3 linked regions of the Styela clava genome follow. The protein of the gene in region 3 binds, or shares a complex with, the protein of the main gene of each other region. Links are inferred from orthologs where the notes say so. Each region holds a gene or a part of one and is shown on either strand. Other genes may lie near its edges. The genes, in order: dynein regulatory complex subunit 5-like, dynein regulatory complex subunit 4-like and dynein regulatory complex protein 1-like.

Evidence for each region.
Region 1: dynein regulatory complex protein 1-like (region 3) and dynein regulatory complex subunit 5-like share a complex: the UniProt entries of both Homo sapiens proteins name them as parts of the nexin-dynein regulatory complex. The link is inferred for Styela clava from reciprocal best matches to the Homo sapiens genes DRC1 and DRC5.
Region 2: dynein regulatory complex protein 1-like (region 3) and dynein regulatory complex subunit 4-like share a complex: the UniProt entries of both Homo sapiens proteins name them as parts of the nexin-dynein regulatory complex. The link is inferred for Styela clava from reciprocal best matches to the Homo sapiens genes DRC1 and DRC4.

What each region holds. Positions count from the first base shown.
Region 1 is NC_135255.1:14,430,273-14,441,031, reverse strand, and holds dynein regulatory complex subunit 5-like, read right to left. Parts: upstream 5,197-10,759; 5' UTR 5,093-5,196; coding exon 4,708-5,092; intron 4,454-4,707; coding exon 4,318-4,453; intron 3,899-4,317; coding exon 3,305-3,898; intron 3,226-3,304; coding exon 3,103-3,225; intron 2,679-3,102; coding exon 2,501-2,678; intron 2,003-2,500; coding exon 1,817-2,002; 3' UTR 1,738-1,816; downstream 1-1,737. Other genes in the region: methionyl-tRNA formyltransferase, mitochondrial-like, read left to right, coding at 531-1,568; EH domain-containing protein 3-like, read right to left, coding at 7,436-7,455, 9,506-9,692, 10,014-10,195. UniProt on the Homo sapiens protein: Component of the nexin-dynein regulatory complex (N-DRC) a key regulator of ciliary/flagellar motility which maintains the alignment and integrity of the distal axoneme and regulates microtubule sliding in motile axonemes.
Region 2 is NC_135262.1:4,091,383-4,102,141, forward strand, and holds the start of dynein regulatory complex subunit 4-like, read right to left. Parts: upstream 5,141-10,759; 5' UTR 4,987-5,140; coding exon 4,984-4,986; intron 4,154-4,983; coding exon 4,046-4,153; intron 3,216-4,045; coding exon 3,132-3,215; intron 2,763-3,131; coding exon 2,649-2,762; intron 2,039-2,648; coding exon 1,832-2,038; intron 1,222-1,831; coding exon 1,167-1,221; intron 623-1,166; coding exon 417-622; intron 1-416. UniProt on the Homo sapiens protein: Component of the nexin-dynein regulatory complex (N-DRC), a key regulator of ciliary/flagellar motility which maintains the alignment and integrity of the distal axoneme and regulates microtubule sliding in motile axonemes.
Region 3 is NC_135262.1:17,140,531-17,151,230, reverse strand, and holds dynein regulatory complex protein 1-like, read right to left. Parts: upstream 7,072-10,700; 5' UTR 7,003-7,071; coding exon 4,912-7,002; 3' UTR 4,777-4,911; downstream 1-4,776. Other genes in the region: dynein regulatory complex subunit 3-like, read left to right, coding at 9,182-9,341, 10,588-10,700. UniProt on the Homo sapiens protein: Component of the nexin-dynein regulatory complex (N-DRC) a key regulator of ciliary/flagellar motility which maintains the alignment and integrity of the distal axoneme and regulates microtubule sliding in motile axonemes.

The sequences.
Region 1 (10,759 bases), on a different chromosome or scaffold from region 3:
AAATAGCTGTGCTGCTGTGTATCACTACTTATTTATTTTACAGAATTTTTTAATTTTGGTAGATTATGAAATAGCATGATAAAGTTATCAAATTATCTGGTAAGAGTTATCCCAAACATGTTAATCCAATGAATCTTTTTAAAAAGGCTTCATTCCCTGTGGTGCTAGTACTAGTAGCACCAATCTTTTGTTCGCGGAGTATATTCTAATCGAGAGAGAGAGTTCACTTGTTTTGCCTTGTGTTGCCCAGATGGCCTATCCATTACTCCTAATGACAGAGTTTTAAAAAGCCTGGTCAAATGGTTCACTGTCAATTCCAAGCAACATTATGCGGGTTTGGCGTTTGGAAAAATTAGTTCACATTCAGCCCTTCCATAAATCCTTCATTGTACTTCAGAGACTGCAAGAAGGTTTGTTGGAAGACAAACTGCGACAAGAAGAGGGAATAAAAAGACGAGAACAAAATAGACTTGAATTAGAAGAACAACAGAAACTGACATCTTATCTAATGGAAAAGCGGGAAATAGAAGATGCTGAGAAAGACAACAAGAGTAATTCTTAATCATAGCAATGTACAATGGCATAATTTATTTCCCATTAGATACAGAAGATTATCAGTGCTGTTTTTTGGCAGTGATGTGTTTTCTAAGGCATGTCTAAAATCACTTCACAATAACTCAAAACTGTCAGCTGAATCTGGTAAAGCTGTGGATAAACTAGGGGTTGTCTGCTTACCTGAGAAGCAGAGCAAATTACCTGTTAAAATATTTGCGGACAAAGAAAAAATCCCTATATTTACATATCCAGAGTTTCCGAGAGACTGCAAGTACGATATTGGTGTAGTTGTATCATTCGGGAAATTATTACCTAAGAAAGTCATCAAGTCTTACAAATTTGGAATGATAAATGTACATGGAAGTATATTACCAAAATGGAGAGGTGCTTCACCATTAGCACACACTATAATGAATGGTGATAGAAATGCTGGAATCACTGTCATGGAGATTAAGTCTGGCAAATTTGACCATGGGCGCATATTAGCACAGAGTGAAGTAATAAAAGTGAAACAAGAGTGGACTTCAGAAGATCTTGGAATTGCTCTGGAAGATATTGCATCAAAATGCTTACTCAAATGTCTTGGAAATATTGAATTGTATTTGGAAAATGCCAAAGAGCAAACTGGCGAGATCTCATATGCACCTAAAATAACTACTGGACATTCCAATATTTCGTGGGAGGCACAAACTGCAGAAGAAATTTATAGGAAGTATAAGGCATTTGGATTTAACAAAGACTTTGTATTACGGACGAATTACCAAGAAAAAGGGGTTAAATTACAAAAAATGACAAGACTAGACATGGAAGAAATTCCTCAAGGCTTGGTTGAAAAAACTATACCGGGAGATGTTCATTTTGACAAGAAATCCAAAACAATTTATGTAAGATGTAAGGATACATTTGTGGGAATAACAAAATTAGTTTATGGTAAGCCATTAGCAGCTCAAGATTTTTATAATGGATCAATGCAAGCAAGGATAAAACAGGGCGAGAAAATCAGGTTTGAATGAATTGTCAAACTAAAGCCAGTAGCTGTGTTTGTTATTGAGCATGATACTATGTTCCATGATTTCATTTATGTTTTAATTCTTCTAATTTTAGCAGTTGAACATGCAAAATAAAATTTGAACTTGCAAAAAAATCTACCTTAATCTTACAGTGAATTGTTAACAAACCATAACAGGTTAAAAATTTATTCAATTGTACAATAATATTAGACAGATGTAAACACAATAAAATAAACACAAAACTAGTTTCTTTATGTGGCGACTGTAGATGCTGAAGGAATTCTCTCTAATTCCTTTAATCTTGCTTTTTCTTGGTTCTCTTTGAGAACTTGTTGGATACAATACTCACTTTCCTGACCAGATTCTGTCAATCGCAAATCCAACTCTGTGATTGTGCTGTTCTCTTCCATGCCTTCTTGAAGTTGCTTGCCACCATCCTATAATTTGACAAGCAAACGTGCATCAAGATATTTCAGAAACATAGGGACAATGATGTCCAAAATGAATTGAATATTCATTTAAATTGTTTTATTTGGCAAAATCATCATTTTGAGCCAATATAAACCTAATATCTTAACTGCATTCCTGACCGATAGATTCTGTTAAACATGACTCAATTTTAGAATATACATGGTGTCCATAAAGTCCCCTTAAAATTTCAATTTTGTTACGAAGTCAGTTCTAAATATATTTTGACCAGGGTTGTTGTTTTTTAATCAGTAATTGTCCAAGTTACATTTGTGAGGGCCAAAACAATATATGGCATCGATAAAATCTCTGCCATTTTAAATTTAGCAAAGCTGATGTGTGTAATTGGTGGCAAAGTCAAAAATGTTAGCTTTGCCTGGCAGAGAGAATGTGGAATGGTTGAGACTCACATCAATTAGAGTAAATCCCCATCTGCTGGAATAAGTTTCATTACAACTTCAACTTACTGGCCCAATTCTGTTTCCTGAAAGACTTATTGTTGTTAATGCAGTGTTAGATATGAGAACTTGAGAGAAAACAGCAGCTGATGGTTCAGTCAAGTCGTTACATGATAAGTTGATATCTTCTAATGTGTTGTTGTTCAAAAGTGCTTTTGCAATGGCCTGACCACCAACATCACCCATTCTGTTAATGTGAATGGTTTTTCATTATGAATTGAACCTGGGATTTCCAAAACGGAATAACCGATATATATTATTAAATTGACACTGAATGAGCCTAAATTTGTAAAAAAATTAGTTACTCTTCATCAAACAGATGAACAAAACATTTGCATTCTCAAATTGTTATTATGTGTCTCAAATTGGAGATTAGAAACTATTGAAGAATTTACTATATCCAATGAGTGGCGGACAAACAAAACCTATTTGATGGCAATTATAATGCATGAAATGAATACTTTTAGAATTGATTTTTTAACCTAAATCTGGTTAGGTATAATCGTAACCGTGGCAATGGAAACAATATGTGTATGATGGTACCACGCAATATGTCCATATAAGAAATTAAAAAAAAAAAAATTATGTGCAAGTGTGTGATTGACACTAACCTGTTCAATCTCAGGTTGAGAGCCTTCAATTTTGAATTTTTTGTGATGGAATATGCAATTGCTTTTGCTCCTTCTTGTCTTATGATGTTATCACAAAGGGTAATTGAAGTGAGGTTTGGGCATCTGCAACATATTTAAAACAATTTTCAATGATATTACTCTAATTAAAGTAAGCTCGATAATATACAAATTAGCAATTCACCTGTTGTTAATAAGTTTTGCGATTCCTCTTGCACCCTTATCACCGATGCAATTATGTGAAAGATCCAGATTAGTGAGGCAAGGATGATCGAGAAGATTGCTAACTAAAACTCGCACTTTTGCGTCATCTACCTTGCTTTTATGAACACATATTTTTTTCAACCATGTGCAGGATCGCAGTGCTTTTGCAACTAGAAGACAATCTCGTTGTGTGAATTGAAAAAGATTCCATTCAAAGTTCATTCCACAATCTCGCACGCCATAAGTTACTTTGAATTCTTCCAAATTCGGAAGTTTCTCCAGAAGTTCTCCAAATTCAAAGTGGTCCATTTCAGGACTTTCCGTTCCTGCATCACTTCCCATATCTGATGCTTCTTCCTCTTGAACTCCGGGTTTCGTTGGTTCTTTTACAGGAGGAAGAAGTTGTTTGATGTCTAATCTTTTGACATATTTCGAGCATAGGGGAATGGCGTTTGTAACTACATCATCGCTAGTTTTCTCTGGTACAAAATTTTCCACAACATCTTGCATATATCTTTCAAAAAACATCCTTTTCCAGCTTCCACCATAATTGGTGACGTCACATATGTGGTATCTACAAAATTATGTTTGAACTTTGATCAAATCAGGAGAGGATTCTCATATCTATCTTGGGGAAAGTTAATGGCACCTAATTGCATGGCATTGGACTCTCAACCAATTACCATTTCATGCCAAGTATGGGAATAGTTAACCTGATAGTTGTTTCACTGGGGAAGGAAGGTGTAACTGGCCACCGGATGTAAAACCACCTTATGATGGTGGGATGTGTGCAATACTCTCTCACTTCATTATCACTATCCGCACAGGATTTAGTGTGGTCTGTCAATCGCTGAGCAGGTTATAACAAGACACTAACTTCACATGTAAAAGATCCAGAGAAACGAAATACTTGGAATTTTCAAATATTTGTCTAACCTGATACGGGTATGAGTTCTATTTATCTATTATTTAAACTTTTTTGGCGCAACTTACTTAGCTTTACAACATCTTTTCCAATAGGATTCATCTTCAACCAAGTGAGCTGTTACAATGATATCTATTTTTGGTGCAATTTTATCAAGAACTTTGTTTTTATCTTTTGGATGAAGTTCTTTCAGTATTGGATTTTCTGGAAAAATGTAACATACATAAATACGCTAAAGCTGTTGTTATTATCATTTTAATTCAGTTTTGAATATGTTTAATAGGAATTACATTAAATGGAGGTTATTTTTATTAGAGTACATTATTTTCCATGTAAATAATAATCTGATATATAGCCCAAACTTATCTGAGCCAGCAGTGTGACAGTGGTCTCACGATATGACATGCTTTTTACCAATCAGCAGAACAGTGTATTTAAACAGTTAGACAAGTCCTTACTTTCAAAATTGTCAACAATATGGTTTATCACTAAATCTTTCAAAAGAGGTACTGTTGCTAATGACCAATCAGGATCTTCTGCAATTATTCTTCTTAAAACCTTTGTATCATTGGGAATCGTGGGTGCTGCTGAAGGTTGCAAAGAATCTTTTTTAACATTGGATCTTCTGTCTTTAACGACCATGTTGATTATCAGTTCCGGTAACCGTTTCTCAAACGAGTATAAAAACGAAACGTATATAATAACTACAGGAACAGGTTTTACGCTTTTAGAAACAAAGCCATCACCTTTCCAAAAAGCACTGGCGGAGACAAAAACCACAACTGCTAAACAACGCGAGCTAGTAACCATGGCAACGTATCTGCTTGTTACAGCGAATTCCATCGAAATCTATTTTCCATACCGAAACACCGATTTGAAAATTCATTTTTTATCAATAATATGCAAGTAAACAAAATTTAATGACATTTCAAATGATAAAACTATATAAATATGACGAAAGGCGGATCTATTATCAGGCAGAATTTGATGCCACATCTTTTTCTGGCTTTCCGTGGGTTAACGACCACAAACTTTCAGCGGCAGTTCTATTACAGCCGACTGTTTTTAGAATTGTACATAAATATTATTTCAAATTTTCTCATTTTTTGATATTGATTTTTGCACTGTACATTGATAAAATATTCTCATTAGACAAAACATTTTACAGATTGTCACGGGCTACCTTAGATTCTATACCTCACTTTTGGTCTCTTGAATTGCTATATTATAACTCTTTTTTGAGACTTACTGTGAATCTGATTGTCATATCAGGTATTTTATGTATTTATTGCGTTATTTTTGTTTGCTTATGTTTATTTGTTGTGTTGTTTTTATATGGACCACAGCGGTCTGGAGTAATAAACGAATTGAATTAATGGCTTGCATACCTAGTTTTATAACGGATTTGAGGCCACTAGCTTGGGTAAGCTAGCAGACTTTTAAAATATCAAATTTAATTAAAGATGAAAACTTTACAGAGTAGCATCCTTTCCAAACTACAATACCCCAAACACAAAATTCGAGTCAGAAACGTGGGACGGCTTTATTTTACTAAGCATAACATGCATCAGCAGTCACGAAACATTTTAAGCAGCAACAAGTACAAAAGGCATTCCTGGTTCACCATTCATTTGACAATTCAACTTGAGCTGGAGACATTTTAAAAGACACGAGTTAATTATACACCATGCATATAACTTAAATATGACAGGTGGCAAACAAAAGTGAACAGCACATAAAAATATGTGGTTGTGAAAAAATTTGCAGTCTTTTGACTTCCGCGGACTGTCAAGAGAAAGTAAATCCAGAATATTTTTATTAAACTTGAATCGTTCCTGGTGGAATAAATTGCAATTAGAGCGATAAATAATTTAAAAAATGCATGACAAATGATTGACTTCCTACCAAGGTAGTATCATCCAAAAATGGGCTGAAAGCTGCCCAAAAATATCACAAGCAAAATCTTCAGAATAAAAACATTCTTTTTGACTGATGATATAATCGTTGAATATGATGAACTCCAGTTAATGATTCAGAATTTATATTAGGTGAAACTTGAACAAATACAATAATATTAATTTGTTCGAGAATGTTTTTCTTTGATTTTCCAAATCTTCAATCTCCCAGATTAATGCCGTCATGGAAGAAAATTACCAAAAAATAAACAACTAATTGTTTCATTTTTTGAGCAGTATACAATAAAAACGGGAAAATAAAAATATTTGATAAAATCATGCTCTATCTACAAAGTTATTTTTAGCAATTTAAATCTAGTTAATTCTATTTTTATGACACCGTTTAGAGTGACAGTTTTGCTACTAATTTGTTTCATACAACTGTTTCAGTATCATCCCCTCAAAAGAAAAATATACTGCATGAAAAGTATGAATGAAAAAGATTCGGACTTTTGAAGAAAGTATTTAAATGTCTGAAAATCATTTTAATAAAGCAAGACAAGAGATTTTGAGTTGTAAAGTTTTTTAAAAACTGCTTTCATACAAAATATGCCAATGGGAGATCGGAAAATTAGATACAAAGCAGCACCAAAGTTTGAATTTTTTTTAGTTCTTGATAAAAGCTGAAAGTCATTGAATATTATAAACAGATCATAGGATAGAATCGATTTAATTTTAATGTTAAGACACCAAACTTGGTTATGAACAGTACGACAGTAATATAGTATATAATAAGTAAATGCTAAAATAAAGGTATAATATACATTTAGAGATATTAGACTTGAAGTTAATGAAAAAAATGGAGAAAGAAATAAAATAATTACATTTTTGTCTACCGGATCAACATTCTCAATAAAAAAATAAGAACATGTTCACGTGCATTTGCTTGGACAGTTGCCATCATTGGATTGAAATATGGAAGATGGCTTTTGTCTTAAGTGAAGACAAATTACACTGCTATTTTATACACTATTTAAACCAAATAAATCTGCATGAAGCACAAAAAAGTACATTCATCAAAAAATCCAAAGAAAATTTAAGTTTGCCAAATATTCAGGCTTTATAAAAGCGTCAGCTCTCAGCTATGAACATATTTTCATCCCAGTAACAAGCCATTATTGAAGGTCCATATGGTTGTATTTTGTGTAGTTTCTTCTGATAACAAGGTGATCCAAAATTTGAACAATGATGTCGTAACGAGAGATAATGAAATTTAATGATCTGATTGAAATTATATTTCTCCATTCGGTTCTGCAATGCCAATATTATCATTAATATAAGATTGAAAGTAGATAGCATTGGCAATAGGTGTGAATATCAATATGTGCATTCAAAATGAGCCAGTGCTAAAAGCATGTATAAAAGCAATCAGGAAACATACCAACACACATGCCTAGTACTCTCCAAACTGGGGGTCTCGATCTCCCATGGGTTGTGAAAAAGCACGCTGGGAGTCGAATTAATCTTTTTTGACACTACTAATTTCGGTCTTCTGTTCGAAAATATGCAAGCACAATAATAGTATTCTCAGTTTATTTTATATTTTTAATTTTTCTGCATTAAAATCTACTTCATTTTTATTTTAGTTCATGAAGAGCAAAAAAAAAAATGGGTCATGACGAAAAAGTTTGGGAGAACACTGCTTTCGTTGATGTCAGAATAACAATTGTTATAAATCAACATAATAACATCAATAGAGAGAATGGGTGAATAATTATCAATTTTGTTAGTTCTGAGATATCACCACTAGTTAGACTGCTATTGGATCGATAAGAAAAAGCGGAACAATGTGGTTTCAAGTCGTCATCAGCCCAATACACTCCCAAAGGATTGGCATAGCAAAATATTCAATATAGAATGATATTGTCATCAAAGAAGCGTGCAATGAAAGGCAAGCGATTTTACGAGTGATTTAGATTGTAATATATTTTCACCAATCACCATACTTTTTTTTTCTCAGTACTGAACATAGTCACATTTCTTTATTCTTCCATATAAACAGACAGCACAGCTGTTTTTTTTTTTCTTGAAACTATTACTGAGCAAGATCATGACAAACCCAGAAAAAGCGGAACAATGTGGTTTCAAAACACCATCAGCCCAATACACTCCCAAGGGATTGGCATAGCAAAATATTCAATATAGAACGATATTGTCATCAAAGAAGCATGCAATGAAAGGCAATTTTATGAGTGATTCAGATTGTAATACATTTTCACCAATCACCATACATTTTTTTCTGAGTACTGAACATAGATACATTTCTTTATTCTTCCATAAAAACAGACAGCACAGCTGTTTGTTTTTTTCTTGAAACTATTACTGAGCAAGAAACTATGCTACAATAACATATTCAAGACTTCATGTTCGTTGTACCTGTTGTCTCAAGAGTTCGCAAGCATCACATATTCTTCATACAAGTTGATCAAAATGGATTTGTTGCTGAATCAAACCATGCAAAAATGTTAACAGCAAACAATTAGAAAGAAGTGATTCAAAACACATTAGTGTGAAGCATTCTTAGTGCAAGTCTGATGGCTTAGCATTCACCAAGGTGTTTGAAGGATTCCGATCAAAAAGCTCGAAGGTAAATCATGGCCATCGTTTTTCAATAGATCAAATTATTAATCAAACAAAACAGAATAGACGATCAAAATCGAGCCAAATTTGAAAGATACCAAAACTGTATATTGCATTTATCAGAATCTTTAAAAGTGATACTATGACAGGATTAACAAAGACTAAAGAATTAACAAGCCCAATATTATTTCATTACTGCCCAATCACAATATTAAGTTTTTCCTATGAAGTGATAGAGATTTGAAAACTGTGACACACAGTAGGAAGTGATCAAAAATGTTTAAAACTTCGAAAATGTATGTGAAAGCATTTTGAGTCGGTGCCATATTTAATATGATAAAAAGCATGCATGAAATGAACATTGTTCAAGTCAACAATAAAAGTATAAAAATTTCAATCCTATTTGGCATATATAGGTAATTTAAAATATTGATGTCCCAGGAATTCGAAATTGTTGTTTCACCGATAATGTAATAACAAAACGCGAATTATATCACAGTGTTGGGGAATCACCAGAGCAAGAACCATCAACACTACCTCAAAATGTTCAAATTTCACGAACCCCGCTTACATTATTCATGCAAGATGAAACACCATGATAAATTGAATTACAAATTTCAAAATATTGATAAATGGAATTATATTCTGTCAGAGAATACAACTGATAATTTCAGCAAAAATTGTATAAGGAAACCTCACACGAAGGCTTATTGGGACTTACTTCTTTGACTAGGCGGAATTAAATGTTCTGGTAATTTGTCAGGAAGATCGTGCCCATCAACTTTCAGTTGTATGAGATGCATACTCAAAGCAAATTCTTCATCAGTTAATGCACCATCTTTATCGTGATCTGCCAACTTCCAAATTTTGCTTAGTATGGTATTATTGAGTTTGGATTTCTCCATGACCTGAAACATATACGAAAATGCCCTTTTATGATGTTTCTCAAAAATTCAAAACACTTTTTAGCACATAATTTTGTTATCGTGTTATCATTTGTTGGGGCGGGACACCTTTTGAAATGTGAAAAAAGCATTTTCCGGTATGATACATAGGAATTATTTCATTGCTTGAAAGAAATTGAAACACTTTTAGACGCTCCAGTTCGCTAGCTGTTACAGTTTAGCTTGGCAATTAGAAATTTTAGAATCCCCTCTTGAAATATCCTGGCTACGCTTCTGCATCCCAGCAATAGACCTTTTTCAAGAGAAAAATAATGAAACACAAACCGGTTTTGCAGCACTTCCTTTCACTTTTCCGTTGATTGGTTTTAAACCATGGAATATTTCATCATATCTAGGTTTGTCTTGTTCAACAATCCAGCCTTCTGTTCCTTCATCAATACCAGCGTTAACGCCAACACCCCACTTCTCACTGAATGGATTATCTTTGGAAGTTGCAAATGCTCCACCTAGAATATAAAAAAAATATTTTTATTACTTACCTAATAGATAGCATGTTGTTAAAATTTTTTATTTCTAAAAGAATGGAGATATATACTTATTAAAGATGTCCCTATATATATAACATATAATCCATATATAATAGTGGATAAATTATAGAATGAAGCATTGCAATATTTTTTATTTTCGATAATTTTACATTCGCAAGAAATGCCAAATTTGAAAATATAAGAGAATGATTTCGATGCTTAATCTTTATTTTTTGATAACCTGAACATGCATTGATACAATCTGAGTGACAATACAATTTTTAGCTGAGAAATATGGTATAAGGAATCAGTCAAAATCAGTCAAAAAAAATAAAAATTTTATATTCAAATTCAGATGATCTTTAATAGTTGTTTGTGATTATTGCAGCAATATTTTACATCTAAAAGCGATAAAATGTAAGAATTTATAATTATTCTTAATTCAAATATTCCGTGATTCAAAAATTACAAATTAGACTGAAGAAAGAGTCATTCAGTCAATAATTGCTCGTATCAGTGGTATATTGTTAAAACTGAAATTTC
Region 2 (10,759 bases), about 13 Mb from region 3:
CCAAAATTCTCAAGTTTTCAACCAAAGGGTTTCAAACATTAATTCGGGTTCTCAATAATGGCAACCGGTGGTAGGTCGGATGACCAACATCAGGCAATGATTAGCAATAGGTGTATTCACTTGGCTAACACAGATAGTCCCGAACTCGTAATAAAACTAAAATATGATAAATCGAAATAAAATTATGGCCTAATCCTAAGCTGGTACACACACAATACTGGAGTATCCAAATTTTGAATGTATTCGACTATAATTATGATTCGTTATCCCTCAATATACACAGAAGTATTTTAATAAAAATTTCAGGAGTTTCAAAATCCGTTCTCCTCATTTTCTAAAAGCAGTTTCAAGTCTTGCATTTTGGGGTTAAATCGCTTGAATTGACATTTCTAGGAATCATAACCAAAGCTTCTTACCTTTAATGAATTGATGAGAGCCAGATTGTTGAGTGTGATGTCGTTGTAATAATTTTTGATATCGGAGAATGCTTTCTCGTGGTTTCGCATGAGTGCATTTATCTGGCCATTCTTTCGCTCTTCAATTTCATGAATTTCTGTCTTTCGTCGAAGTTCAAGTTCGTCCCGAAGTACACGCATCTTGCGCTCATATTTTGATTCAATTTCTGAATTTGTAAAGAAAGAAGACCATTGTTTCAATTGAATAGCTATTTTTCCAGCACTATTTACTTATAATTACGGAAAAAAAAGCTTTTTCACCTGTGTATTGTCACAATGTAAAATTATGGTTTGTGTGTTTCTAATTTAATGGTACAATGCGGCAACTACCATGTTTCCTAAAAATAAGTCATATTTCGATTTTCTTTCGAAAATTGACACTAGGGCTTATTTTTGGGTGATGTTTTTTTCAGTGGTAGAGAACAATAGGAAATAAGAAGCGCTTTTGTCACAACGCTGTTGAATTTTAAGCGCCGGTAGATAACACTAACACCTTGGGCGTCCAAGTAGGCCTACAGAACAGATAGCATTGATTACGTAACACCATGGTTCTCAAACTGGGCCCGGGCTACAAAACGAGAAATTCGGTATACAAAATTGGAAAACTGGTGTCAATTTACTTATAAATAACATGTTTCCATTTAAAAAAGACCGGGTTAGGTCTTATTTTCGGGGAAACACAGTATCAAGCCAAAAGTTGACACCGCATACCTCTTGCTTGTCTTTCGAAATCTTCTCTCAACTGAGTGATGTGTTCGTCTTGTTTCTAGGTTGAGGACGGGAAAAGAAATTGAGATATTTGGATACTATGAAAATATATAACATTCATAACAATACTAGAGGAGATCGGCTTAGAAAATTAAATTAAAACAGACTACCCAGGTACCTAGTACCCACAATCCTACAGTTGCAACACATTGCAAACTCCTATTAATTGACATATCGTTACACATCAAAGGTCAAAAACATAACTGATATCATGAAAATAGTATAAAAATAATGATGCATAGGGAAGTGAAAAATGTTGGGTAAAAAATGTTGCACAGCAATGTTTTTAAAAAGCAACTCAAAATTTACAGCTATTTGACAAAAGACCTATTTTTGATGGCAAAATCAATATAGCTTAGATCTGTACCTACACAGGGAATAATATTGCCAACCCCCCACCAAATTACTGTCCTTTGCTAGTGCGGTATTATTACTTGTGTTAGGTATTTCTAGGTAATTTACCTTTCATATATTCAAATTTGTCAATAAGTAATTAAAATTGAGCTTGTAATGAATCTGAGAAAAGTCCACAATCAAAATATATTTAAAATTACCATGTAAAATGAATAGTTTTCATTGAACAAAATAATGAAAAGTTAGTCTCATACCTTCACAAGATTCTTCACAGATTCCTCATGAGATAATTCCTGTTCTTTCAAATTGACCTTCAATGACCTTTTATCTTTTCTGAGGTCTGTCTCCTGTAACCTGTGATCTTCCTGCGATAACTTCAAAGCCACCGAACTCTCTGCTTTCAATTCTGAAATGTTGTTCTGATGCTCGTACAGAAGATGTTTGACTTTTTGCTTGTATACCTGGGATACACAAGATCAAATAAGACAACATAGATGGATTAGTCTGGTATTAAAATTTGGAGCAAAGCCCACACGACAATGACAAATGCATGAATAAAAACTAATTTAGAATTTTATAGACTTTTATGACAATAATATTTGCCATATCAGGAATCCCTAAAACTTATTTTATTAATGTTCAACCGTTTTATGATTTCAATAAAATATGCAGAGCCCATCATCTCTAAATTCCTTATATCTCTGTGGTCATATGTGTGTAGGACTTAATATTATAACTTTATGACAACATCTTTTTATTTGAATTTCGTTTTAAACCTGTTTTCACCTTGCCTAAGGTTTTGTTTGCTCTTCTGATTTTGTAACCAGTTTGTATATTTTTTTGTAACTATTTTTTGTCTGTTATGCTGATTATGTAGGTTAAAAACAAACTTTACATTTACTCTCAATTCGACTATTTTCACAAGTGGCTCAATTTTGCATGGCATATTACGGCAAAAAATACAACAGGCAGACATACAAATAGATGAAGGACTGGTTCACCATATAGATAGGTCGTCCTTTATAATGATGAATATAGAATTATATCCCAGTATATACAAATGAGACAAACTTTAATTTCAATTTGATGTCTTTCTTCTGAATCTTCCATTTCTCGATCTTTATTTCTCAATTCAGCTTTCTTCTCTTCCAATTGTCGCTTTGTGATTTCCCAGAATGTGTTGACCTGAAAGAAAATTTTTGAAAAATTTGATTAATTATTATAACCCTTACTTTATTATATACTTTGTTTTTAAGAAGAAAAATTTGCAACATTAATTACCAGTGTTGTGGAGTCACGAGTCACCATTTATCAAAAAATTCAATCGTCTAAAAAATGAAGTCAAGAAAATTTTATGATATCTATCACAATATCTTTTGTATTTCAGAGGTCGCCCATGAATTTGGTCCAAATTGAGTCTCATTTACATCTAAGTGATTTCACTTTTAATTTTAATTTTTCACATTTTCTTTTAAAATAAAGATTTAACACAAGGAAATCCATTGTTATTGACTCATAATTAGTAATTATTGCGCAATAACAATCAAAACAAACCTTATCTCTCTCAAGTTGAAAATAATTCCTTTCCTCTCTCTCTCTTTCCAATTCTTCACGAAGTCGACCAATGTGCTCCTCCAACTATTGAGAAGTGGATCGTGTGGATAAAAAGTGATGTTTTTATTAATAAATAAAAAATAAAAAAACTATTGAGAAGTATAAAATTTAAACAATGGGAAAGAACATTCAGCAAATATATACGGGTAGTTCAGTATCATGGATTAGTATATAGCATCTGCTTGTGTATAACTTTCAATTACTGCCTAACCGATTAGTTTTAAGTGATTCATGTCTCATACAGTCACTCAAAACAAAGCTTTGCAAATGCACCCACCCAAGTTTAAGAAGCCAATGGGCTTGGAAATTAAGGAACCATTTATTTTGATATCGCCATCGTAATTTCGCACATTCTGATGACTGGTCAGCCACGTCTTGTTGTTGAAGTGTTACGTGACATTTGAGGCAAATACGTAACAGAAAGTAAGCGACATAGAAGGGTAAAATGAATTCATTGATTGATACACACAGCATTTAAAATAAGAAACAATAGGACATTTATAGAACATTTAAAAAATGCAAACATATTTTAGTAATGTTTAACACAATTCCGTTAATTTTCGCGGCGAATTTAGCCACTCGCTGCACCTTTTGGGAACGGCTGATCTATGCCTATGAGGTTATAATACCCTAACAGCTAGCTCATGAGAAGCAAACAACACATGTCATAAGATCAATTACCAAAACTACTAGAAAGCCTATGTTAAATAAAGGTGCGACCCCCGGTTATACTGGGGTATTAATAATATCTGGCACTCCTCTTTAAAGTTTGCACACCCCTAGTTCATAGCGATACAACTATGTTTCAAAATTTAGATTTGAAACTGGTTTAAACATTACTTTATAGAACATACCTGCTCCTTTGACATTTCTTCAGTTGACATTCCATCTACGACGGTCGGGGTTTTGGGCTTTTTCGCAGATTTTTTGCCCTTTTTTCCCTTCTTCCCTTTTTTGGGAGGCTGCAAAAGCATGAAACAATTAGAAAATAGCCAACTACAGTACATAAATTTAATACTAGGCTTTATTCAATGATTTTATGGGTAGAGATTGCTTGATTTTTAATTCTAGTAATTTAATTTACTTTTCATTTCAAACTCCTTACTCCAGAAATTTTGGGTTGGACCATCACACTATGAAAAATCAAGAATGTGGCTTCATCTTTGACTTCAATGAGACAGAATAAGATAGGATAGGATTTACATATTTATCCCGGGGGAGAGGAAAGCCGATAATACAGCTTAACCATATGGCAAACCACGGCCTCTCGTCCGATTACCATTCCATGTCGGGTATGGGATTAGTTAGTTATTTGTTTTCGGAAGCATGGACTTGATGGTGGAGGAAGTCGTAACAGACCAGCGGTTACGTGAACCACCCTACAGCGGCGAGAGTCCAGCAATCCTCTCGCACATAGCCCTCCCCCCGCCTGGGATTCGCAGAGTAATTAGAGGTGCGGTGGCGAGCGTATTCCTAACGATTAGCACGATGAGCCACACCGCCACGCCGAAGATCCCGAAAAAAGAGGCATCAAGTAGTATTTTTATCTGGGGAGTATTTACAGATTTATTATTTTAAACAAATTCCAACCCTAGTCATTTAGACAAAAAAAGTAGAATTTCTAAGAAATGATAAGATTAAAACAGGGATAATTAAAAAACTCCCCCATTGTCCCGGTGCTAGAGCCGCCAAATCAATGGCTTCCTAAGCTCCAGAGTTGAAAATAGTCGGTTATTCATAACCAAGATTTTGAAATAAAGTTATATAACACTAAAACTTATATGACACTTACCATTATGAAGATTTGCCGTTCGAAATGCAACCAGACGGGAAAACTTGGAAGGCAACACCAAAAAAGTAAAGCAAGGCGAACAAGCACGGAAATCAAATTTTCTCTCGGTGTTACTATGGTAATTTTCGTATTTACGTGAGTGATATTTCACGCATGATATCTCTCAACAATGAACGAAAATGAGTTTTAAAAAATAAAATTACAAGGATTGGAATTAAATAGACATGTAATACATGTTATAAAAAATGTTTTACGTAATATAAGAGTGCAATCTAATACAAAAAAACTAATGTGAACAAACAAGTTCAAAAAAAAGGTCAGCGAGCCGTAAAATGTATATACAATTTCTGTGACTCGGAGCCGTGCGGGCGCGTGGCGCAATGGATAACGCGTCTGACTACGGATCAGAAGATTCCAGGTTCGAATCCTGGCGTGCTCGCTTTTTCATAAAATCAATTTGGGATCATTTCTTCCCTCATAATATAAAATAATTGTTAAATATTGTCTGAAAACAAAAATATCACTAAAAGACGAACCCTCGTTACGATATTCAATAAATTTATAAGTTAACTAACATAAATAAAAACAAATTAAAATATCTCACGACGGTCAATTTCTCATAAAATGCAATATATTGACTAAAAAAGCAAATATGATATGAAATGCAAGTTGAAAAATAACTACATGCGAAAGATTCAGATAAATTATTTTTATCATGCAAGAATCAATGCAAACACAACACAAAAGTGTATAACGTAACGCCGTACCCCCTTCTTATATTATTATATCTTTGGAAATGTTACGTGTAACCCATCAAATAAATAATCATTGTGATTAATCGAGGTAATAATCTATACACAGCCTTTGTTTTCTCATGACTCCCGAATGTCTTGTCATAATAGGAATTTCTCTTTTTTTAGGGGTCGGTGGCCATAGTTGACCTTGCAGTCTCGCCCGTCCCCTCCCGATTATATTCTATAATTGTTCTTTTCCATTTATTGTAATTTTACATTTTTTGATATATTCGGAAAATAAATCATTATCTATCATCTAACGGAATTGAAAACAAAATTGAAATATACACGTAAAAATAACGTCAGAAAAACAAGACTTTACAAAAGTTTGTGTGCGTCAAATACCTCCAACTGCCACCCATAGGTCAATTAGTTCGAGTTCAATATCTTGTTCAATAATAAAAGCATTTTTGCTTCGGTAACCGAATGCTTAAAACTTATTCAAAAATGGGACAGATAGAGAAAAGTGCGTCGACCGGGAGTCGAACCCGGAACTATTGCTTGGAAGGCAACAATGCTAACCGTTACACCATCGACGCGACGAGGTAGGTGAATCGAAATATTTTATATAAATAAGGAGAGAATTAAAAAAACGCCCGACATTCTCTCGATCGTAATATCGTTATTTGATTTAAGATGTATAAGTATATAAGTATAAGTATAAGTTTATTTCGACTCCATAATCAGCATAACAATACATTTGACAGATAAAACAAATAAATAAAATCTGATTATGAAATCAGGGGAGCAAACAAAACCTTAGATAAGGTTTATAACGTACAAAATATAAGATGAAAGGTTTTGCCAAGAGGAAGTGGTACGTGTTTACTCACCTAAAATTATCAAGTTATTTCACACACGCTCACATGCACCCACCAGCCACACACACACACAACCACTGAGAAGTTATTTAAGTAAGAATGAAACGCGATAAATTTAGGGTATACTATACAGTAAGCAAAAAAATAAATAAATAAATACTAGAAAAGAAAATTATCTGCCACACCATATTGATATTTTTGTAATGGTTGCCATTGCCAAATTGATCGATCTTCTAATCGTTAATTAGGTATATAAAAGGAAGATTCTATTGAAAACATATTGCCAAGCTGATTATAGTTGGAGTCAAATGCCAAGTTGCCCAACCAAAGTTGCCAGAATTGGGTGCATGAAGAGGTGGGCGAGACCATTTCATTCCCCAAATTAGAGCCTATTATTGCCAAATTATAGTCCAGATTGTAATAAGTAATTAAGTTACCGGTAACAGTAAAATTACTATAATTAAGTAAAGTAGGATGTGGAAATAAATTGGTTACAAAGGGTGTAAGTGAGGTTTTTCATTCTTGGGTATTGATTTCAGACAAGGATATGGGAATGAGGTTGTTATTTCACAGGATATCGGGAGTCTTTTTTGTTTTTTTCCTTATGTGTTTTACTTCATTTAATCACTTTGAAGTAACCTGAAAAACAAAAAATAAAACTGCGAGTAGATGTTTCAATGATTGGGTGAAGGGGAACGCTCTGAACTATTTATTACAGGCAAAAAATAATTGTTTAATTAAATGGGATGTATTGTCATTATATAGCGATGGATAGATGATCTATGATGACATTCTGCTTGGGACAGAGAAAAATTTATCACACCATGCAAAAAACACACAAAATTTTACTATCTATACCTTGGCCAACAAGTCAACTCAAACACCATGCCTTAACATAAAACGCATGCATACATAAATGATATAAAAACCACATCCAATTACAATGACCCACAGCAAATTAAAATCTGAAGGGGAGAATCCAACATAGCTCTACTGCTCGCCTAGTTGCAATAATTAGTAACCTTGCAGGAACAATATTGTACTATCTACAACCCTTATACCACCACTCAAACATAAGACCAAGCGTGTATGATAGGGACATCACAGCTAGAAAAAGATAAAAACACGAGCGTGAAGTGATAGAATGCGTGCAGTTATTTAAAGAAAATATCATCTGAGTACGTTAGCTACCTGTATATTTAAAAAAATATATATATACTCATGCATGTCACAATACCATTTCTTTGGTGCTGGACTAGTTCTGGCCAAGTCGTGGCAAGATATTATTATAGTCGTGGCACAGTATTATTATAGCTGTTCAACATTTTCATTAAAACAATAATGTGCAAGTGTGGAGTGTCCCAAGTTTTTGTCATCGAATACCACCAGTAGTAATTTTTAATATTTAATATTTGGAAACTAAATGAGACTTGACTTGTTTTTGAAAAGATTTTTTGGACTTTAACGTCTTCAAATTTAAGGGAAGAGAATTCCAAAGTTTGGGTCCAGTAAAAGACAAGGAATGCTGACTCACGGATTTACTCATGAAAGGTACGAATAAATCAGAACTACTTCTTCGGTTGGAGGTATTTTTGACAAGTATGTCATTAAAGCAATTGGGCAGCGCATTATTATGAAGTCGTGAGCTAGAGATAATATTTCAAATTTCATCATATCTTCAACCTTAAGTATATTTAGTGATTTGAAGTAAGAGTCTACACTTTCACGTTTTCTTTTACCAAAAACTATTCTTAAAAAATTATTACAAATACTCTGCAGTTTTGAGACAAGTGTTTTATTACCATGAAGCCAGACTGAACAACAATATCGAATATGGCTAAGTAGTAATGATTGAAACATTGCTAGTAGAGCTGATTGGTCAACACACTGGGATACTTTGGCAGAAACTGCTAGGTTTCTTTTTGTTTTAGCAATAACATGCATTATTTGTGATTTCCATGACAGATTTTCATCAAAGATAACTCCTAGAAATTTTATTTCTTTCACTCTTTCAATTTCATTGCCATTGAGCAGTAGTTTTTTTGAACAACTCACACTTTTATGCTTGCTTGGATGGAATAATACAAATTTAGTTTTGTTAGCATTCAGAGATAATTTATTAACTAACATCCAGCTATGAATGTTGGTTAGTTCTTGGTTTGCAACTGTGAATAGATCTTCAAGGTTTTCCCCATGAAGAATCAAGTTAGTGTCATCAGCAAACATGATCGACTCAGAGGATTTCAGACACCATGGCCATGTTTGACTACAAAGGTTAGAATTCCTCTCGCATCAATCCGCGGAATGATAAGACGGCTATAAGATAACGGAATAGTTTTTAGTTTTAAGGACTTGGAGTAAACCTCCATGCGATCACGGACAATTTTTGGGCGAAAATGAATAAAACGTCTTACCGACTTCTATTATTATATTTCTTTCATATTGTATTTAGTCTAGTCTACGATGACTAGGAGCCCAGCATAACCCTCTCTTCCAAGAAATCCGGGAAAGAGTATTTACGATAAGACAGTAACAACCCAGATAGCATGTGAATAACCGCAAAGCGATTAGGCTTACAACTTTGCGTCTCAAAAAAGGTCTTTCGTCAAAAATGTATTTTTTGGCAAACCTAGCTCTGAACTTTAGAGTGTGACATCTAGATTTTCTCAAAATAACTAAATTTTCTTGTCATTAGTATTATTTACTGGAAACTACTTTTATACGTCGTTTTATTACCTTCTTTCTGAACGAGGCCGTAACATAGTATGCAATATTTAGAAAGTTGCTATATTTTGGAACCTAACAGAATTGCCCACATAATTCATTGCACTCAAAACGAGGTCGTGGGAACTGGAGTCACATAAAACGCTTTGAGCCATTGATTGAAGAAACCGGGACAGGACTGCACTGATTGATGACCATTTGACAGATAATTACAAAAATACCAGCTTTTCTCTACAAAGTCAGTTTTCTGGATCAAACAATAATAAAAATTCAGATGTAGAGGCTGCAGCAACAGATTGTAATTTACATTCACAATATTTTGTAAGAACCATGTTTCACAGAAACAAGATTTGTAGCTTATGGAAATCATTACTTTAGCAAATATCAGGCACCCCATGTTCAGTCAGTGAACAAGAAGCATTGTACAACTTAAAAAACAGGTGATAGACATAATAAAATAGAGCAAATTCCAAACTTCAACTATAACACAACCAGCTTCACAGTTCAGCCAATCATGAATATTTTCTCCGGGACCTAAAAATTAATCAATTGTTTAAAATAGATAATTCTTTCTGTTATCATTCATTTAATATTCTAATAGTTATTTAAAACAGAATCGTTGTTTTATTCATTTTATCGTTCAAATCGTTCGTTTCTATGTAACAGAATCAAATATTATTAATAAAATGATAGGACACCCATTTAAAGTTCATTAGTCTCACCCTAAAATGAGATAACACCCTGCTTAATATACAAGGGAGGTTTTGTTCACTGTTGGGAATTCTCAATCTTATTATATCTCATAAACTATATGTCTAGGTTCTATGCAAGTTTACCGAAGGCCATAAACAACAATGGACTCTGGCGAACATGTTACAGAAAATAGGCTGCATTTAGTTTCAAGTGGAAAGCGAAGAGAAAGGAAAACATATCAGCAGACAGAGCAATATTTCATTGACAAAATTTCCTAAGAAATAAATATCAAAAAACAAATAAGTTACTCATACAAAACTGAACTCAAATGTACAAAAGGGAAAAAAATGTACAACATCTCAAAGTCAAGGATTCACACAAAGAACAAATTAACCTAAAGACCCAACACTCATTCATTACATAGTCATAGCTAAATATTATTAGAGTTTTAATATTAGCTAGCAAAAAAGTTTTGAGACTAAATAAGTATTTAATGATGTGTATATACAATGGTCTCATGATCAATTTAACCCTCGTGTGAATTCCTAAATCGGAACAAGTCTTGGAAACCTGATTTTGAACTACACGAAAAATATAGATTGAATTTACTTATTCTTCACAAAAATAGCAAATTTGGGGAAGTTAAAGCCACTGAATCCACGTGCGGGTCGTGAAAAGTTCAAAAGGAATGAGAAGTTGGACCAATAGTTCGTACAATTTGGAAAAATAATTCATAACTTTGTA
Region 3 (10,700 bases):
TAAATAAATGCTAGCGAGAGTATTTCTGAACCCATCGTCGTAGTTGGGTGGTTCGTGTAACCTAGGGTTGCCAATTTTGTGTTAAACCATTTCGGGACACCTCAATGTCTGTAAGATTCAATTACATCTATGTGTGAAAACAATACATAGATAAGATAAGGAAAATAGGTGTTGTTATCAACTGTTTGAAATATGTTTTTTTATATCGATTTCAGAATTAATGCAACAGAAGCTTGTGAAACACGAAGCACGTCAAAAGCAACAGTGCGCGCTGCGCGTCGTGCAGCGTTATTTTCACAACTGTAAATAATTTTTTCATAATCAAAGAAACTTATGAAATGTTGACTCGTAAATGCAAAAAAAAAACTAAAACAGTGGAAATGTACAATTTGTGCTGAGTAGATTCAATTACTCAAAATAAAATACAAGATAATCAATCTTTTCGGTATTTAAATTTTTATTGTGATTTTAGTTAGCTTTCATAAATTTTATGTTAAAACTTGTAATCTTTACGGAAAGATAACAATTAATGAACTCTCGCTAAGACAAGAGCTGTCAGCAAGTCGTCCTAAAACAGACGGCTATGCGAGCCTGAAAACTGACTGAATAATGGAATCCTGCTCATAAGAGGGCCTCACTCTGAAAGTACATTAGCAACTGAAAACACAAAATATTGCTACACGCCGCAACTTTCTTGAATAAATTTTTCAACAAATCTCAATCAAGTTTTTGATTCTCTCAAATTAAGGTGACTGCTGTATATAATGTTATCGTCCATTTTGCAATTGTTCAGCTTATTTTAGTGCAGAGTGGTCCAAACCCAGGCCCGCGGGCCACATGTGGCCCGCCGCTTAATTATCTGTGGCCCGCGTCACATTCGAAGAGTAATCGAAAAATCGCATTTCGTGTGGTTTCGTCATAAAATTAATCAGAAAAATCTTTTGACATATTGTCGTCACTAATGTCACTGAATTAAATAGTGTTATGGCTAGCTGAGGCAACTAGCGAAGTTAAAATAATGTGCTTGTTAGTCTAAATTGTTATCTGGTTTTCTAACTTTTTGGTCGGGAATACATATATATATGCTAACAATATAGGCATCAGAGAAAACTAAAAATCGAATGCGGCTTCTATTAGCCTAGAATGGCTATGCCTGATAACTATGTGTTTGCACAGTGAAAGTGTTTGTTTTGTATTGCACTGTTTACCTATTCTTGGCTTTATTGTGGCCCGCGAACAATGCAAAATTAATTTTGTAGCCCGCGGAGCCGAACACCTTGGACCACCCTGTTTTAGTGTCATGTCATCAGGAGGTCACGGCTGACGAAACATGTCGTATCCACGAATTTCAACTCACTCCTATTTGAATGAACCATACAGATGTAATCGTTTTTATTAATGAAAAACGGACGCTAGACGTAAATTCCGGGACTGTCCCGGCCACTCCGGGACGGTTGGTAGCTCTTGTGTCACCACTGGCAGGTTAGCGCTTCCTCCACCATCATGTCAATGCACCTTAATCTTACAACTGTCAAACTATTTCCAAACTCGACATTGACAGGTAACAGGAAGGGAGGTCGTGGTTTGCCGTATAATTAAGTCGTATTGTCACTACAGATGTATATACCGATGTATCGGTATCGGCCCTATTTTTCGGTATCGGTATCGGCTAAATTAAGACCGATATATATATTTATCTTTTTGAAAAGATCCAAAATTTTTCAAAACTAGGTTGGAATACTGATGTTTAAATATTTATTTTTTGCATGAAGGAATCGTGAACTAAGAGCCATGCACGTCCCCACCTCCGTGGGTCGAGACGGGAATAAAATTCTGACCTGTTTTTAAATTCCTATCAGTCCTAACACTCAACTAATTTGACTATTTTCGCTGCCAAATTTTCTATTTTGACATTTCAACTAGGCGTCTATTTTTAAATCATACTGTAGAATCGAGGTCCTTATTAACAGCGCCCGCACTTGTTGGCAACATCCTCGACGTGTTATAGCTTGTAGGTACTTCCAGTCGGCGCTGATTGTAATTCTTTCATGTCGGTTGTAATTATTTGCACAATTACGATAAAACACAAAACAAAATATTTGTAAAGTGCTTTCAATTAAAATCTGGACGGCGGCGCTAGGATGTGTGGGCGATATTCGATAAACACGAATAACAATATTCGAAGGTCGCGATATTAATATTTAATTAGAATTGACAATACCTGCACAATGCATCTAAATCAATTAACGCATCTGAATCCCAAACATCAATTTCTTATGATGTGATATATCTCTGTTTCAATCTGGAATAATGCGTAGTATGAATAATGCTCAAAGACTTGTTTTAACGCGTTTGCCCTGCGCATTTGCGGTAATAAATGCATAGTATCGGCATCGGAATATTGGCCTTTTTGTAATATCGTTGTATCGGCATCGCTAACGGCGTTTTTGTCAGTATCGGCGACAAAGGTGGTATCGGTAGATCTCTAATTGTCACTCTTTCTCGTCTTGAGGAATTTATAAATATTTTGCTATCCACGACCATCGACCTTTCTCATAGGTCTGATAATATCATATCATAATATCTGAAACCGTTCAAATCCTTGCCTGAGCCTTTTTCAATTGGTCGTAAGGCCGGCCTCTTTTTAATTGCAAAGTTGACATAAATATTTGGCAGGGTCCCACTCGGCGTTGATTTCAACGGCAGAAGATTCTATCCCATTTTATCATTTGCGACAGTTGTAGTGTAAAACTGAAAGTCGCTACTTTTCCATCGTCGAAGGTAACATCAAAATTTTGGAAAGCCCCCTTGCAGACCGATTGGAAATTCTATTGCTTGAAATTTTCAATTACTGGCCGTTTGAAGCGATCGGATAATATTAGTTAGTTTCACAATTTAACTCGAAGATGTACCGGGTGAGCTGCCGGGATAGAGAGAAATATTTACTTTAATTGCGGAAAAATACTCCTTTTAGACTCCGGCTAGAGATCTCAATAAAAAGACGCTAGTTATTTGGAATACATTTAACACCAAATAGTAGTAAAAATGAATCTGGAAAAGTCATCTGATTGAGTTTAGAGCCTAAACTTCATATTTCTGTATTGAATTTCGTAAACCCAGGTATCTATCCAACTATTGAAATTTTGCTGCATGGGAATGTGAGGTATATTTGACGTCAAGTAAACATCAATAATCTGATGTGACTGGGGTGGTTGACTTATCGTCTTCAGAAAGTTGTGGTGTGTTACATTGTTTCAAGAGCGCTTTTTCAGTTCGACGTTCGCTGGTTGAACAAAAAAATTAACTTAAAGTTCATGGCAAACTTCGTGGACCTTGGTCCACAATCCACATCTGTATTTTTTTAAAATATGTTTATCAATATGACAGGTAAATGAAATCAGATAATTATTATTAGGATAGGATTTACATATTTATCCCGAAGGAGAGGAAATCCGATAAGACGGCTTAATGATATGGCGAACCACGGCCTCTCGCCCGGTTACCAGTCCAGGTCGGGTATGGGATTAGTTAGCCAGGTATTTGTTTTTTCGGAAGCATGGACTTGATGGTGGGGGAAGCCGTAACCGACCAGCGGTTACGTGAACCACCCTACGGCGGCGAGGAGTCCAGCAATCCTCTCGCACATGATCATCCCCGCATGGGATTCGAACCTGCGATACCACGAAGGTTAACCAAAGATGCGGTGGCGAGCGTATTCCTAACGCTTAGCACGATGCGCCACACCGTCGAGCCAATTGGTAATTCTTTCTCCTGGAATTTTTGCAGCAATCACAAAGAGTGGGTGTCATGACTTGCCGATGTCCGATCATCATGCCGAAGTATGTTTTTTGACATTCATTCATTCTAACCGATGCTTGCAGCGATTTTTTGTCACCAGCAAAGAAAAATGCACGGATAAAACGCTCACTGCAATATTTGAAGCAATCACAAAGAGTGGGTGTCATGACTTGACGATGCCTACCCAGCATGCCGAAGCATTCTTTTTGGCATTCACTCATTCTAACCGACACGATTTTTTGTCACCAACAAAGCAAAATGCACCGAAAGAACACTCAATTGAATACCGATCGAAACGTTGAAAATTAAAAACTATTAAGGTGCACGGATAATAATACCTTGGTTTTAGTTATGATTATCTGGCAAAACATTAGCTTGCTAGATCAGAAACAGTTTGAACGACAGCTTCGATGAACTGAGGTTATCTGAAAAATCAAATCTTGAAATACAAAAAGTTGTCTAGAAAGACATTCAAAGCTAATTATTTACAAATCTCTATTGTATCAGTACATTACTTCCTACCATACGTATGTTTCTTAATTAAGTATTTCGCGCTCCCTAACGCAAACTTTTAAAATAAATTACATATGTGGTTTTCTCAATTTACACATCAAAATATAACATGAAATCTTGGTAGATAAGATGAGCATAGCAGAAGGAATACAAACAATAATTATAAAAACAGGCGGCCCTCAAAACTCTCACTCCTGCGTGAGTTATTCTTTGTGTTACATTCAAAATTTATTGAGGACAAGCTGTACCCACTGCGTTTAATATCGGTATCAGCCAACAACTAACATACCACTAAAATATAATGACTAATGCGCTGAAACACGTCTACGGTGTAGTTTCACCTCACAATGAATCTATGCCCGGTTGTGTTTCAGGCGTAGTTCCTTTGTTAGGTAAATAGTTAATAAAGCTACTAAAGTAAAGATTCACTACTAAATCATTGGTATAAAGAATTGCATTTGAACATCGCATTGTTGAAGGTAATTTTTATAATTGTTTTGATGATAACAATATATATATAGAAAAAACAATCGACAGTGACTACAAAACCAAAATAATATTGTTAAAGAAGAGCAAAATATTAGGAGAAGCACATGTTTTTTAGCTGTATTCAAGTTGAAGGACACGAGTTGGTGGAATCTCGAGCTCTCTGTTGACTTCGGAAGTGATGTATTGGTGGAGTAGCATTCTCAGTTCTGCATTCTGTTGCCTAAGGCTGTCTGTTTCTTTTATTTTAACATCTCTCTCTGTGAGTACTTTGTGATACTTGTCAAACGCTTGTGTCAGTGCATCCCACATCTTCAGTTTGTGCTCTGGAATGATGTTTGCCATTGACTTCCAAAATTGTTCGTCTTGCGAGCCATCACGTCCTGGTGCAGTCAGTTTGTTTGTACCTTTCGATTTTCTTCTTTCTGTAGGTTTGATATGTTCTTGAACAAATTGTTTCAAAACCTTTAAAACTTCATTTGGATGCATATTTTCTTTCCCGTCCATAGTAGATGACACTTCATGATCAAGAGATGATTCACTCACTTCGTCACTGAGTTTTTCTTTGTGTTGAGCAAAAAAGGCTGCCAATTTATGGATGTCATCCTCTGATTCGATATTTAAAGCTTTAAATATTGCATCCAGCTTGATCAATGACCTTTCTTCATTTTGAAGGGGACGTAACAGCTTGTTCAACTTTTCCTCGACAAGAAATCCAGCCTCATCACATAATAGTTCCAAGACTTTCTTAACAGCACTCAAAGAAACTTTTGTACTTGAATGAGACTTTTCATCATCAAATGTCAAAGGCAAACTATCATCCTGTTTTGGTTTTGCCACTGATGCCAAAACTTCTTTGGCCATCATCAAAGCAGATTTTTCCTTTCCTTCTGTAGCTGCCAGCAATGGACCACGGGAATCCATGAATGCGGTATCAGGAGCAGACCACGGCAAGCCAAGCTGTTGCTGATGTATGATGCAGTCTGTATTCAAAACTTTATCAACAAGTTTTCGTACTTCTTCTTCATTCATACACCAGATATCATGAAATTTTTTGTTATCAGTTGCTGAGAAGTGCTTCATCTTTTTATGTAATTCCTTGTATTGCTCTGCTATTCTTTTGTAGTCATCAACGAGTGATTGATTCTCATCTTTGTATGAACGTTCCTGCTTTCCTAGCTTGATTCTAAGGTTATTCAAGACATCTTGAAGTCTGGTAATTTTTCTTTTCTGCTGTGACTTAGTGATGGTATTTTCCTCATCACGTTTTTTTAAGACTTGAAAATTGTATTCTAATTTTTCTTGATTTAACTGATATGTAGCTTTCATTTGTTGCAATTGTTGCTCCAGAATTTGTACATCAGTTTCTAATTTAATCTTCACCATGTTATATTCTTCAGCATCCTGGGTGCGAAGTTGATCCAATTGGCGCTCATGTTCCTCAACTCTTTTTTCTCTCAGTTTCATGTGATCTTCTTCTTTATCTCGTCTCTGCTGCATCATTGAATCCCATTTCCGTCGATCAGCTTTGTTCATATCACTGCGACCATCTGTGTAAGCATCTTCAATTTGTCTCAGCTCTTCTCTGTGTGATTTTGTTAGATTTTTAATTTGTTCTTCCATTCTTTCAATAATGAGATCAACATCTTCTGATTGCTTCTTCAAATCTTTGACATATTCATCATCTTTTTGTTTTAACTCTTGTTGTAAAATATTTATCAATTTATTTTTTTCATCGATCACAGCGTCACAACCTGTTGTTTGCTCTTTCAACATATCATGTAAATCCTGAGGGATCTCCTTCATGCGAGCTGCTGACCATCGTTTACTGATTTCATCGAATTTTTCAGCAGATGCCTTTGCTTCTGCTTCAAGTTTTTCAACCCTTGCTCGTTTAGCTTCTTCTTCAACAATTCGATGACCAGACTCACGAGCATCACCGGCAACTCGTACATTTGTTACAAGTTCATTACCATCTCCAAGGAGTTTTTTCAGGCGTTTTCGACTTTCTTCAATCTGTTCTTTTCCCTTTCCTTGTTCTTCTTTGACTTCTTTTTTCATGAGAGCATCGTCACCCAGAGCTTCTCTTTTGAGCTGCTCGATTCTATGTTGGATTCGGATCCTCCTAGCAAGGATTCTTTCTTCTGGATTTACAGATTCAACCGAAGGCCCACTTTCTTCGTCCCCATCGTCAACATGTAACATATTTGTGGTATGATATGAATCACAAAAACTATTTAACACTATAAATAGACATAAAATAAGATATATTACTTAGTGATAATTAGAAAACACAGAATCAGAATTACTCTGTCATTCAGAGAATGTCTATAGCTATAAGAATTGATTTGATACTTTTATACCGGGTTAAACCCAGTAAATTAATCCGAAGTTTATTCAGTTACCTGAATATTTTAGTTTGCCTTGTTTATACAAAAAGTCACTGCCATTTCAAACACTCAGTGCATCACAATCAAGAGTTTCTGAATTTCTAAGTGACTCAATTTAATCCAATTCAAATCGGTAAGAAGCAATTCTCCAAAATATGGCTCAATTTTATTAAATAAATTATTGGGCAATGAGACAATGTCATGATGAAGTAAGTCTAGTTGTCACAACATCAAATAACATGTCTCCTTCAGTTTTCTTAAATTCTTACATTTAGGGTGGCTTACCCACTTTGCGGCCATGACCTATCTGCGACCATCAACTTCATCGATTAAATTAATGCCGAAAAAATTAACGAACCGCGCCGATATTTCTCACGCGTTATCGTCCACTTATCCCTCGTAGCTCTACGAAATTACACTAAAATGCGGCCATAAATGAAAAAGTTACGACCGAAAACCTGACCGAAGAAAAAAAACGGACCATTTTACCATGTCGCCAACTACCCATTGTTCCTTCAAAAAAGGTTGAAAATCCATACAAATATAAGAGATAAAAAGATGAAACTTGGAAGGTGGGTAGAGTTGTGTTTCTTTTAACCATCTTTAAAGTTTCGCGTCTCTACCTTCAAAGGAGGGGGAGTAGGGGGGTGCGCATTTCCAATACGTCAATAATATCTTTGTCAACTAATTTGCGACCACCGTGTTTTTGTCTGTTTGATTGCTGTGATGCGGTGTTTGTTTATAATTTGAAAAATTTTGTTCGAAATAATCGTATTCTTAAAATATATGACGGTCAGAAATGCAATTAGAAGCCCATTTTTTCACGCATGGCTGCGTATTATCTAGTCTCGACGCAGCAGAAACGATGTTCAAGGATTGAAATCCGTGGTCGCACACTGGTCGTTCGGTCGCAAATACGTCTTCAGAGTGTCGTACTTTGGTGGTTTGTATAGCTTTAACCCCTGGTCGTAGAAAGTTAATTCGAAGTTCAGCGTGTAGAATGAATGCCAATGCACCTACGGTGAAAAAATTAACAGGTTAGAAATATTGGTTTTTGTTTTATAGGGGTTTGAATGAAATCGTCCGCAGACTGGCTACACCACCCTACATCTACTCTACTACTCAAAAACTCATTAAATTAAGTAAGATGTCTTTAAATGACCAAGATACTGCTATTATATCTATTTAGGCATGACTCACTGGAAGACATTCAGACCTCACTACTTTTAGAATTATAGAAAATCACTACAATAACACATTTTGTATATATCAGTAGCGACATTTGTGAGAATTCTCTGACGGTCAGTATCAAATGAAAATCCTATACCCGCTATTGTTTAAAAAAAGCTTACATAGCTGCATATTTCAGTATTTGTCTCGACTACAATAAAATAGGCGTTCGATTTCGACGCATTCACTTTTACCTGACGACCCGTGTTACGGTACCGGTAAGTCTTCCTGCTAGTCATATTTCCTGCTATCTAGTCATAAAATAACCTATCTATAGTTCGAATGCAATTAAATTCAACAAAAACACGATGCTACAGACCACTAAACAGAATTTGTTTCGAAAATAGAACACCTATTCTATGCTTACATTCCTAATCGCGATCAACCTTTTCAACTAGTCATGCCTGGATGATAGTGCTTCGTTTGACTGGTTGCTATGGTTATTATAAAAACCAATGGTGCGAAAAAATTGGCAATCTGTTCACGATATTTTATACTGAATCCCTTTTTTGCTTAAATATCATAAAAAAATTCAATCCAAAGTATTTTATATCTATGTGAATACATTTATACCAACAATTTGGATCCTTTCGTTTGCAAAGTACAGCCCGAATCCATAGCAACGCAGAAGCGCGAAGTGCTTGCCAAAGACTAAACAAATAACACTTATTTTTTTGGTGCTCGTAGTGAGCGGCTAGCGCCGTGATTTTCCATTTTCTGTTTCCTCTGCATATCTCCCTTCCTTGAATATATTTGATTCAAAAATGAGTCGCCTTTATGACACCGTTGAACCTGCGGTAATCGACGATGAAATGCTCAGAAAAGCTGTAGAAGAGCAAGGCCCGAAGGAAGAAGCTGGTCGAATTGCAAAACAAGAAGGAATTGATTACAAAGACGTGTTGTCATTAAGACTAGATTTTAGAAGTAAGTGGTAAAAACGTTATGGCGAAATATATCACAAAAAGGGTAAATAAACCTGTAAATACAATGACAGACAATTTTTTTTGAAAACTTAGCTAGCTAGTTTTTATTTTTACTTTAGGTATATTATAAGTATAATAAGTATAAGTTTATTTCGACTCCATAATCAGCAAAACAATAAAATGAATGCTAAAAATAAATAAATAAAAACTGATTATGAAATCAGGAGAGCGAACAAAACCCTAGATAAGGTTTAAAACGTACAGAATGTATATAAGATGGAAGGTTTTGCCAAGAAGATGTGGTACGTGTTCACTCACCTAAAATAATTGAAATATTTCACACACGCTCACACGCACCCACACACACAACCATATAGAAGTTATTAAGTGAAGGGAACAGGAAAAATTACATCTTACATATTATGCTAAATGGACAATATTCATATTTTGTGGTGATTATAATGAAATTTCAAACTTGAAGTTAGGAAGTCGTGCATATTAAACAATTAACAAGTTTGTACGAGTCAACTATTTTCATGCTCCACTCTGTTGTGTTACCGAACTCGAAAAAAGGGGTCTCCTGTAGTTTCGTACCCATTGTACTTCTACTAGGCGTAGCATAACAATTTTTTTACAAGTCAGTCCTAACCCCCACCTGACTTCGCTATCCAAAAATTACGTCACTACGACGTCACAATCACGTCATAGAGCTTGCCAAACACACATCCGATCGCCCGAAATGGCATCGGTGCCGACGATGAAGAACTGACTAACGTCAGCGATCTCTCTCCTATCAGGATCGCTGCGGCGAAAAAACGAGGGAAATAGCTGTCCGATTTCGGGTTCTCTTCTGCGCGTCTTGGGTGACAGTTCGTATAGTTTGAAGGGCTCTATTACGTCACTGTGACGCCGTAGTGACGTCATTTTTGGATGGTGTTGTCAGGTAGGGGTTAGGATTGACACGTGTTAGTAAATATAATTTTATGAAGTAGAAGCCTTCTACTCATATTCTGACCTGTCAATTTCAGTCTAAATTATCTCTCAAGTTTTCATTTACAATCTTTCCATAGATCTTGCAGTTATTTTTCTCATTTGCTAAATCCATAAAAGCTTAAATAATATGGCTCTTGATAGTTTGGTCAAATATTAGAAAACTTTATTACTGATGCCCATTTGTGATAAATGCAATGGATAAGTTATCTGCTCTGTTTAATTTGTATCATCATTTTATTTTTACTTATTTACAGATATATTGAAGATTGATAATCTTTGGCAATTCACAAAGCTGACAAAATTACAATTGGATGACAATATTATTGAGAAAATTGAAGGATTAGATCAATTGGTCAATTTAGTATGG